Coturnix japonica: one gene and its partner. The protein of the gene in region 1 purifies or fractionates together with the protein of each later gene. This does not show direct contact. Links are inferred from orthologs where the notes say so. Each region holds a gene or a part of one and is shown on either strand. Other genes may lie near its edges.

What was found.
Region 2: the proteins of SLC30A5 (region 1) and SLC30A6 purify together in Homo sapiens (co-immunoprecipitation; 5 studies listed by BioGRID and IntAct, with this or other methods). This does not show direct contact. The link is inferred for Coturnix japonica from reciprocal best matches to the Homo sapiens genes SLC30A5 and SLC30A6.

What each region holds. Positions count from the first base shown.
Region 1 is NC_029547.1:13,195,086-13,198,731, reverse strand, and holds part of SLC30A5 (zinc transporter 5), read left to right. Parts: intron 1-948; coding exon 949-1,174; intron 1,175-2,525; coding exon 2,526-2,752; intron 2,753-3,541; coding exon 3,542-3,646. UniProt on the Homo sapiens protein: Together with SLC30A6 forms a functional proton-coupled zinc ion antiporter mediating zinc entry into the lumen of organelles along the secretory pathway.
Region 2 is NC_029518.1:30,258,147-30,262,244, reverse strand, and holds the start of SLC30A6 (zinc transporter 6), read left to right. Parts: upstream 1-1,212; 5' UTR 1,213-1,323; coding exon 1,324-1,341; exon of another isoform or gene 1,342-1,355; coding exon of another isoform or gene 1,356-1,358; intron 1,359-1,497; exon of another isoform or gene 1,498-1,666; intron 1,667-2,586; coding exon 2,587-2,673; intron 2,674-3,467; coding exon 3,468-3,552; intron 3,553-4,098. UniProt on the Homo sapiens protein: Has probably no intrinsic transporter activity but together with SLC30A5 forms a functional zinc ion:proton antiporter heterodimer, mediating zinc entry into the lumen of organelles along the secretory pathway.

The DNA.
Region 1 (3,646 bases):
TTTTTCAAAGATGTTAAAACTCTGATCTTTTTAAATGGCCGTCAACAACAGCAAAAAATAGAAACTGAGAAAGTAATCTGTACAAGACTAAACTTGGCTCTGCTTTGTGTATACCAGTGTCAGTCACTGCAAAAAAGCTTTTGTGTTTTTCTCTCAGAAATGTCAAAAGTTAGTCAGGATTTGTAATGTGATAGTGATGATACAATCACTATCTACCATACTTATGCTATGGCACAAGTACTCATGAAACATAACAGTGCCCGTATCTCACCACTTTCCATGCCCTAGGCAAGTTTTCAGGCTTTTGTTGCTTTCTTCCAAACTCTTACCATTTATTTTCTTCAAACCAAATTTTTAAATCATAGAATTCTGACCGTCTGAGCCCCCAGTTATCATACTTGTGGTTTCATTTGTGTTATTCTCCCCCCCACACATGAATTTGTGCTCTCTTCTAGCCATTTGGTTAACAAAGATTTTTGTATAGGTAAAATTAGATGTATGCATTGCTGGATATAAGGCCTGACTTAACTTAAGGCCTGGTAGCCCCTGAGTAGTATTTGCTTAACTAGTGGATTAGCTAAAATAACTCTATTGCAGATCACATGTTTTTAAAGAGAAGAGTGGAAGAAAATGCAGGGAGAGAAAAATCACGACCAGTAAAGTGGAAGTGGATATCTTCAGATAACTACAATTTTAGCTGCTTATGCATGTTTTAAGTAGATTTATATACTTTTTTTTCCTGCCAATGAATGAGGGCAACACAAAGTTTGTAGCCAAACCACTTTCTCTTTCTGGAAGTAAATAAAAACAACAATCTCCTACTTGAAACTTAAGTTACCACCTTCTCATGCTGTGTGGGTATCGGGTGCTACGTTTTGGTGTGAGCAGCTGGGTGGGATTTTGGATTGGAATATGTAGTGACATCTGATACCTCTCTCTCTCTCACAGCCAGTCTCTGTTGGAGGGTTGATCGTAAACCTGGTTGGCATCTGTGCCTTTAGCCATGCACATTCCCATGGGGCTTCTCGTGGAGGCTGTCATTCACATGAGCACAGCCATTCTTACCATGGACACAGCCACAGTCATGGGCATGGCCATTCCCACAATGACCATGGGCACAGCCATGGACATTCCCATGTGTCTGCAGGAGGAGGCATGAATACCAACATGAGAGGCAAGTATGGATTGTTGAATCATAAATGACAGATCTGGTCTATAGCAGACTTTGGTGTTTTTAAGTTTTAACCCCAGTACTGCGTATCGTTCTTGAAATCTCCCTCCAGAATATTGCATACATTTATTTCTCAAAGTGTTCATTCATAAGTGAGTTTAACTTGAATTATTTTTTCACATGGCTTTCTGAGACGTGGGTGATACCCAAGGATCAATGCAAAGCATTAATCTTCAGTCTCTATTAACATTAATAACCTTAGTCATCGAAAACCTTACTGAACAAAAATTGAAGCTATCATTACTAAGTCCAGGGGCCATCTCAAAATGCAAGTAGTATGTCTCTGTCTGTAAAGCTAATGCCATACTTCTGGGTATCATGTTACAGCTGGTTGTGAAAGCCCTGGGGGAAGTGATAAAGAAGCAGAAGAGCAAATGCAGACTATCAGTCTGGGATATGAAGCATTATGCTTCTATTTGTGATTCAGAAGATAAGGTGGTAAAGATGAATTTTTTTTCCAGATCTAAAATTGGAAGCTGAGAAGGGCAATGTATAGAGATAATTTTAGAACAGCTACTTCTTGAGACTCTTCTTCCCTACCAGTTAGAAGGCAGTTCTTTACCAACTACATCACTTATACAAGTCTATAAAAGAATGAACTTTTGTGTAAGCTTGTCAGAGCATATGCATTTTAGCTAAGAGTCTTCTTCTGTTTCATAGATTACTTTCCATCAGTCATTAGTTAAGATGATTCTTCTGTTTTCAGGCATTATATTGTAATATCTGCCCATCTCTAACACTGTTCAGCATTCTTTTAAATCCTGGCAGTCAGTAAGTACTAGTCTTACAAGTGACTAGAGATATTTTTTTTCTATACTGTGTCTGAGTTTACACTGGGAATGATGCCAGCCATTAAAGCAGTAAAAGAATTATTCTTAGAGTATGTAGACAATCTTCTTAAAACTTTGAGCAGAGTTAGGCTGTAGAAAAACAAATGGTAGATTAATACCTGTCAGTACGAGCAGCCCAGTGCATTCACAGTGATCTTTTTCTATTCTGTTGAAGATCAATAAGGACTGATCCCTATTATACAAGTCCCACGAACTAAATAAGACTGCGTTTGTATGTGGCTTCATCTGTAAATGTCTGCCTAGATTACTGAAGTGTACTTCCTACCAATGTTGATTTCTAATTAAATACTACTTAAACTGAATGTTTTGATTCATTCTGCAGCAGGTTAGGCAGGTGCTTGAGGGAGGCCAATGTCATAAAAGTGAATTTGTTGCTAATGAACATCTATATTCATCTTAAGCAGCGGTGTTCCTCTTAATCTCTTAATATGTTTTGTTTTCAGGTGTGTTTCTGCATGTGTTAGCAGACACTCTTGGCAGTGTGGGTGTTATAGTGTCTACCACATTTATTCAGCAATTTGGATGGCTGATAGCTGATCCCCTCTGCTCTCTTTTTATTGCTACACTGATTTTTCTCAGTGTTATCCCACTACTGAAAGACGCCTGTCAAGTGCTTTTGTTGAGGATACCTCCAGAACAAGAGAAAGATCTGCATGCTGCTTTAGAAAAGGTCAGTTCTTCTATCCCAGTCTTTTTTATGTTGTTGTACTGTAGAAAACAGCTCTCTGGGCCACCTGGGTCAGCTGTCCCTGCTGTGTCTCTTCCTAGTTTCTGGTGCACCCATAGAAGACTTGCTGTGTTGGATCAAGGTTGGGAAAAAGAGGAACTCTTGACCATAGAGTCATAGAATGTCTGGGGTTGGAAGGAACCTCAGAGATCACCTACTTGCAACTCCCTTGCCACAGGCAGGATGGCCAGCTGCTAGGTAAAAGCTAGAGCAGGCTGCCCAGAATCTACAACCTGTGTTCAGCAGTCAAAAAAACTGCATGTTATCAACACTGTTTTAGCTATGAATCCAGAACAGAATATCATGCAGGCTGCTATGTCCCTACCAGGCCCAGTGCAGTGATCAATTTCTAAAAATGATGAATTATGGAAATATGTTTCTGGAAAACGTACAGCTGTGGTAACTGTACAGTTACCTATCCTGAATAACAATGTGACAGATACCCTATAAGTGACTTAAAGTGCAGGCCAAAGTTGATCTGTCCATAGATGTTACTGAGACTCCTGCAGTTGTGTTTAAGTCAACCCTTTTCATTTTGCCCTCTGCTTGGTTTTCTTTGGGTTGTAACATCTGGTATCTGACAATAGCACGTTGGCCTCCAGGTGCTACGTTATTTCTCTGTCACTTAGCTGGAAATGCAGCTTTGTTTTCCTGTGGAGTATTAGTTATCAGTGTGCATGTACATGTGCAAATTTAAAATGTGTTCATGAAAATCATGTAAATTCTTCACAGATTCAGAAAATAGATGGAGTCATATCCTACAGAGATCCTCATTTTTGGTGTCATTCTGCAAGTGTTGTGGCAGGTACGATACATGTGCAAGTGGTGTCAGATGTG
Region 2 (4,098 bases), on another chromosome or scaffold:
TTTCACTGTTAGTGTCTCTTGAGCTTCTGGTTAGTATTGAAGGATGTTGTTTTACTCACCTACTTGAGTTTCCATGGTCATCTTAAGAGATGACCAATACATAAAGAGTTTAAGTACTGTAACTTCAACAGGACACAGACATAAACTAGCTTCCTACAAAGGCAGAATCATCTAAAGTACAGGCAGATGTGTGTTATATTCTTTCTGCTTCTCTTGTAAATTGTAAGCTGTCATGATGTAAACTGTTTATTTTGTCAGTAACTACCTCCTGAGTTCAGCAATAATTGACAAGGTAGACCCTCCTCCACTGTATCTAAATGTATCGGTTAAACACTGCAATTCTGTCGGTACTGGTCAGTTTCGTCTTTTTGATTTGCAATTGTCTGTTAGTTTGGTGATTAGACTTTGTCTCCATAAGAAACACTTCTAAAAGTTCTGTTTCAGAGGCTGACTTTGAAGATTGACTTTCTTCGTACTTGGTTAATACAGGTTTATTCTTTCAGGATGCTTAAGATGTGGTCTCAGTTCTGCAGGGTGTTTTTGTTTTTGCCATTGGAAGTGAGAAGTACTTGATGTAATGCTTGTGTACCTATCAAGGGGGCTGAGAACATGGAAACTGTCACAATTCAAATCCTCATTCATGTGAAGGGCTAGTCAGTTTTTTCAGAAGTCTGGATTTAAGTGACACAAGCAGAAGGTGGAGGCAAATTGCTGTCCCCTACCCTGTTAAATACAGTGAATAACTCTGGTTTGAGACAGAGCTGATGCTTGTCTTTGGTTGTGTTGAGGGTCTTATGCCTCAGTGTTCCCTAAAGAACATTTTGTGGAATGTTAAACATGGCTTCATTAATAAGCAATGTAAGGCAGCGTGGTGAGCACTCACACAGCGTCAGCTTCACAATAAAATGTTGCATTTATCCTTTTCTTACTGCTCTCGTCTGTTTATCAGATTAAAACGCCCAAAGCTGCAACCCTTCTTATTAAACCTCAATCTGATTAAGTTGTTACTGCTTTAATAAATGAATCAAGTCAGGTGTTGTGCCTGCTGGATGATGGAACAATAAATACGTCAATACCTCATTTAGTTTCTAAAGGACTTGAGTCAAGTTCTTATTGAGTCAAGTTCTTAGTACTAATATAGGCAAGTGCTGCTATCCGTGACTATCCGGATATCGCTGTGTGGTGCAGCAGGGCGGGGTAAGGCCTGGTGTCCCCGCCCTAGGGGCGCGCTTCCTTTGCCGTCACATCCAGTTCCGCTGTCGCCCCGCAGGCTCTGCAGGTTGCCACAGTGACGGCAGCCCCCTCCGCCTCTTCCGGCCTCGCATGGCGCCGTCTCTTCCGGTGCGGGCAGTACTATGGTGAGCTGGACGCGACAGGGAGGGACGGGCCGGTTGCGGCGGGTGTGAGCGGGGAGCTGTGAGGGCGGGGAGGCGGCTCCCGGGCGGGCCGGGGGGTTCCAGCTCCGAGCTCGGAGCGCGTCGTCTCTCATCCCCCCCTTGTGGCGCCTCCCGCCCCGCTCCCGGGGCAGCCCCGCCGGGCCCGCGGTGACGTGGCCGCCCGTGTTTTCCTTACCGGGTCGGGTCGGATCTCCACGGACACTGCAGCAGGTGGGGGCGCTCCTTGGTGTCCTGGGGGGTTCGGTAGTGATTTGCCTGGAGACAGCGCAGTAAGTGCTTTGCTTTCGCCTCGGGGAACGTGTATTTGCAGTCTGTAGTACTGCGATCTACTTGTGGTACCGACCCAAACGTGGGTGTGCCTGCAGGTACTGAGAGCGGCGTGAAACACGGCTGTATTGACAGGCGTGTCTGTCAGCTGAGTGAGGCTGGTTAGGTGACCGGCTTGGAAACACCTCTCCTGTCGTGAATTCTGCTCTGTGTCAATATGAGGCTTGGTTCTAAGCCAGCCGTAGTCTTGTGGAAACAGAACATGTTATTGAGAGGCACCGTTGAATTTAACTTTAATTATATGTGTCCAGTTCTGGGCTCCCCAGTACAAAAAAGACAGGGATCTCTTGGAAAGAGTCCAGCAGAGGGCTACTAAGATGGTGAAGGGCCTGGAGCATCTCCCCTATGAGGAGAGACTAAGGGAACTGGGTCTGTTTAGCCTTGAGAAAAGAAGGCTGAGAGGAGACTTGATCCAGGTTTATAAATACCTGAGGTGTGGGAGCCATAGTGGTGGGGCTGGTCTCTTTTCAGTAGTGCGTGGGGACAGGACTAGGGGTAATGGGATGAAAGTACAGCATAGGAAGTTCCGCACGAATGTGTGGAAGAACTTCTTTACAGTGAGGGTGACGGAGCACTGGAACAGGCTGCCCAGGGAGGTGGTGGAGTCTCCTTCTCTGGAGATATTTAAGACCCGCCTGGACACCTACCTGTGTGACGTGGTGTAGGGAGCCTGCTTTGGCAGGGGGGTTGGACTCGATGATCTCTAGAGCTCCCTTCCAACCCCTGCAATTCTGTGATTCTGTGATATCATTGAATCACAGTGAGCTTTGAAATAGTTCATAAGTGAAGGTTGTTTTGTTTTGTTTTAAATCTAAACCGGGGGGTTGAGTCAAATATTAAATTAACCTTTAACTTTCTTAAGGGGACAATCCACCTGTTCCGCAAATCACAGAGATCGTTGGTTGGAAAGTTAACACATGAGTTTAGGCTGGTTGCAGCAGATAGAAGGGTGAGTATTTCTTTTGATAAATAAATAATAAAGCTATTAGCTGTGAAATGTTGAGATGAACTATTAATTTAAGCAAATTGTTGGAAATATCTTTTTAAAGTAGCTGTACTTCTTTTAAAAAGTGGCAGTGTTTTAAACTTAGTTTCACATTGAGCTCATGCATCAGGTATTAAGATTATCGTAGTGATGCTGTCTGCTGTAAATACACCAGAGTGTACAGATATCTCATTATTATCAGCACTGTGAATAGTAACGATGCCTTTCTGTCTTTAAATGGAGTTGTACTTTCTGTTAAGTTGGAGTCCTATGGCCTGTCCCTGATAATTAATTTTCCCCAGAGTTGTGCTTATGTTTAATGCATTAGGTAGAACTGTAAGCCAAAGCTGTACAGGTGTTTTTGGGGTCAAAGTTCTAGCATTAAGAAAAAAACCCACTTAGATCTGTACTTCTCTGTCAGAAGGGAGGGCAGGAAATAGAAAGCTGTTATAATTCTGTCTTTAACATTCAGGAAGAATGTGTTGCAATTAGATGCGGAGGGATGTTTTTTCACACCAAAAATGTTTTAAGCATAATATGCAATGCTGATGGAAAATGAGTTTGGGGACAATCTGTACAATGAAAATAGAACATGAGATTGTTACCCTAAAGTGAATTGCATGTTTTTGGGTGAGACACAGGTAGTACTGCTTGCACGATGAAATGCTACAATGTTGTGGTTTTTTACAACAAGATAGGTATGTTTTTGTCTTGTGAATCTTGGAAGATGTAAAATATGTGTTTATTCTCCTCAACAGTCCTGGAAGATCCTGCTGTTCGGTGCTATAAATTTAATATGTATTGGTTTCCTGCTCATGTGGTGCAGCTCTACAAACAGCATAGGTAGGTGGCTTTTTTGCAGTGAAGATTCTAACAGCTGCACTGTGTTTCTGTACCCATAAAGTTCCAGAGTACAGCAAATCAAAGCTCTGCGCATAATGGAATTTGGTGACTGAGAAGCCAGGTCTGGAAAGTGCCGCCTTTTTGTTTGCTATGGTCATTGTGGAAGCATTTACTGTGTTCAGTTTTGGGCCCCTCACTGCAAGAAAGACATTGCGGCCCTGGAACGTGTTCAGAGGAGGGCAACAAAACTGGTGATGGGTCTGGAGCACAGGCCTTACGAGGAGCGGCTGAGGGAGCTGGGATTGTTCAGCCTGGAGAAGAGGAGGCTCAGGGGAGACCTTATAGCTCTCTGTAACTACCTGAGTGGAGGTTGTAGTGAGCTGGGGGTTGGCCTCTTCTCTCATGTAATCGATGATAGAACTAGAGGGAATGGTTTTAAGCTGCGCCAGGGGAGATTCAGGCTGGACATTAGGAAGTATTACTTCTCAGAAAGGGTAGTCAGGCATTGGAATGCACTGCCCAGGGAGGTGGTGGAGTCACCAACCA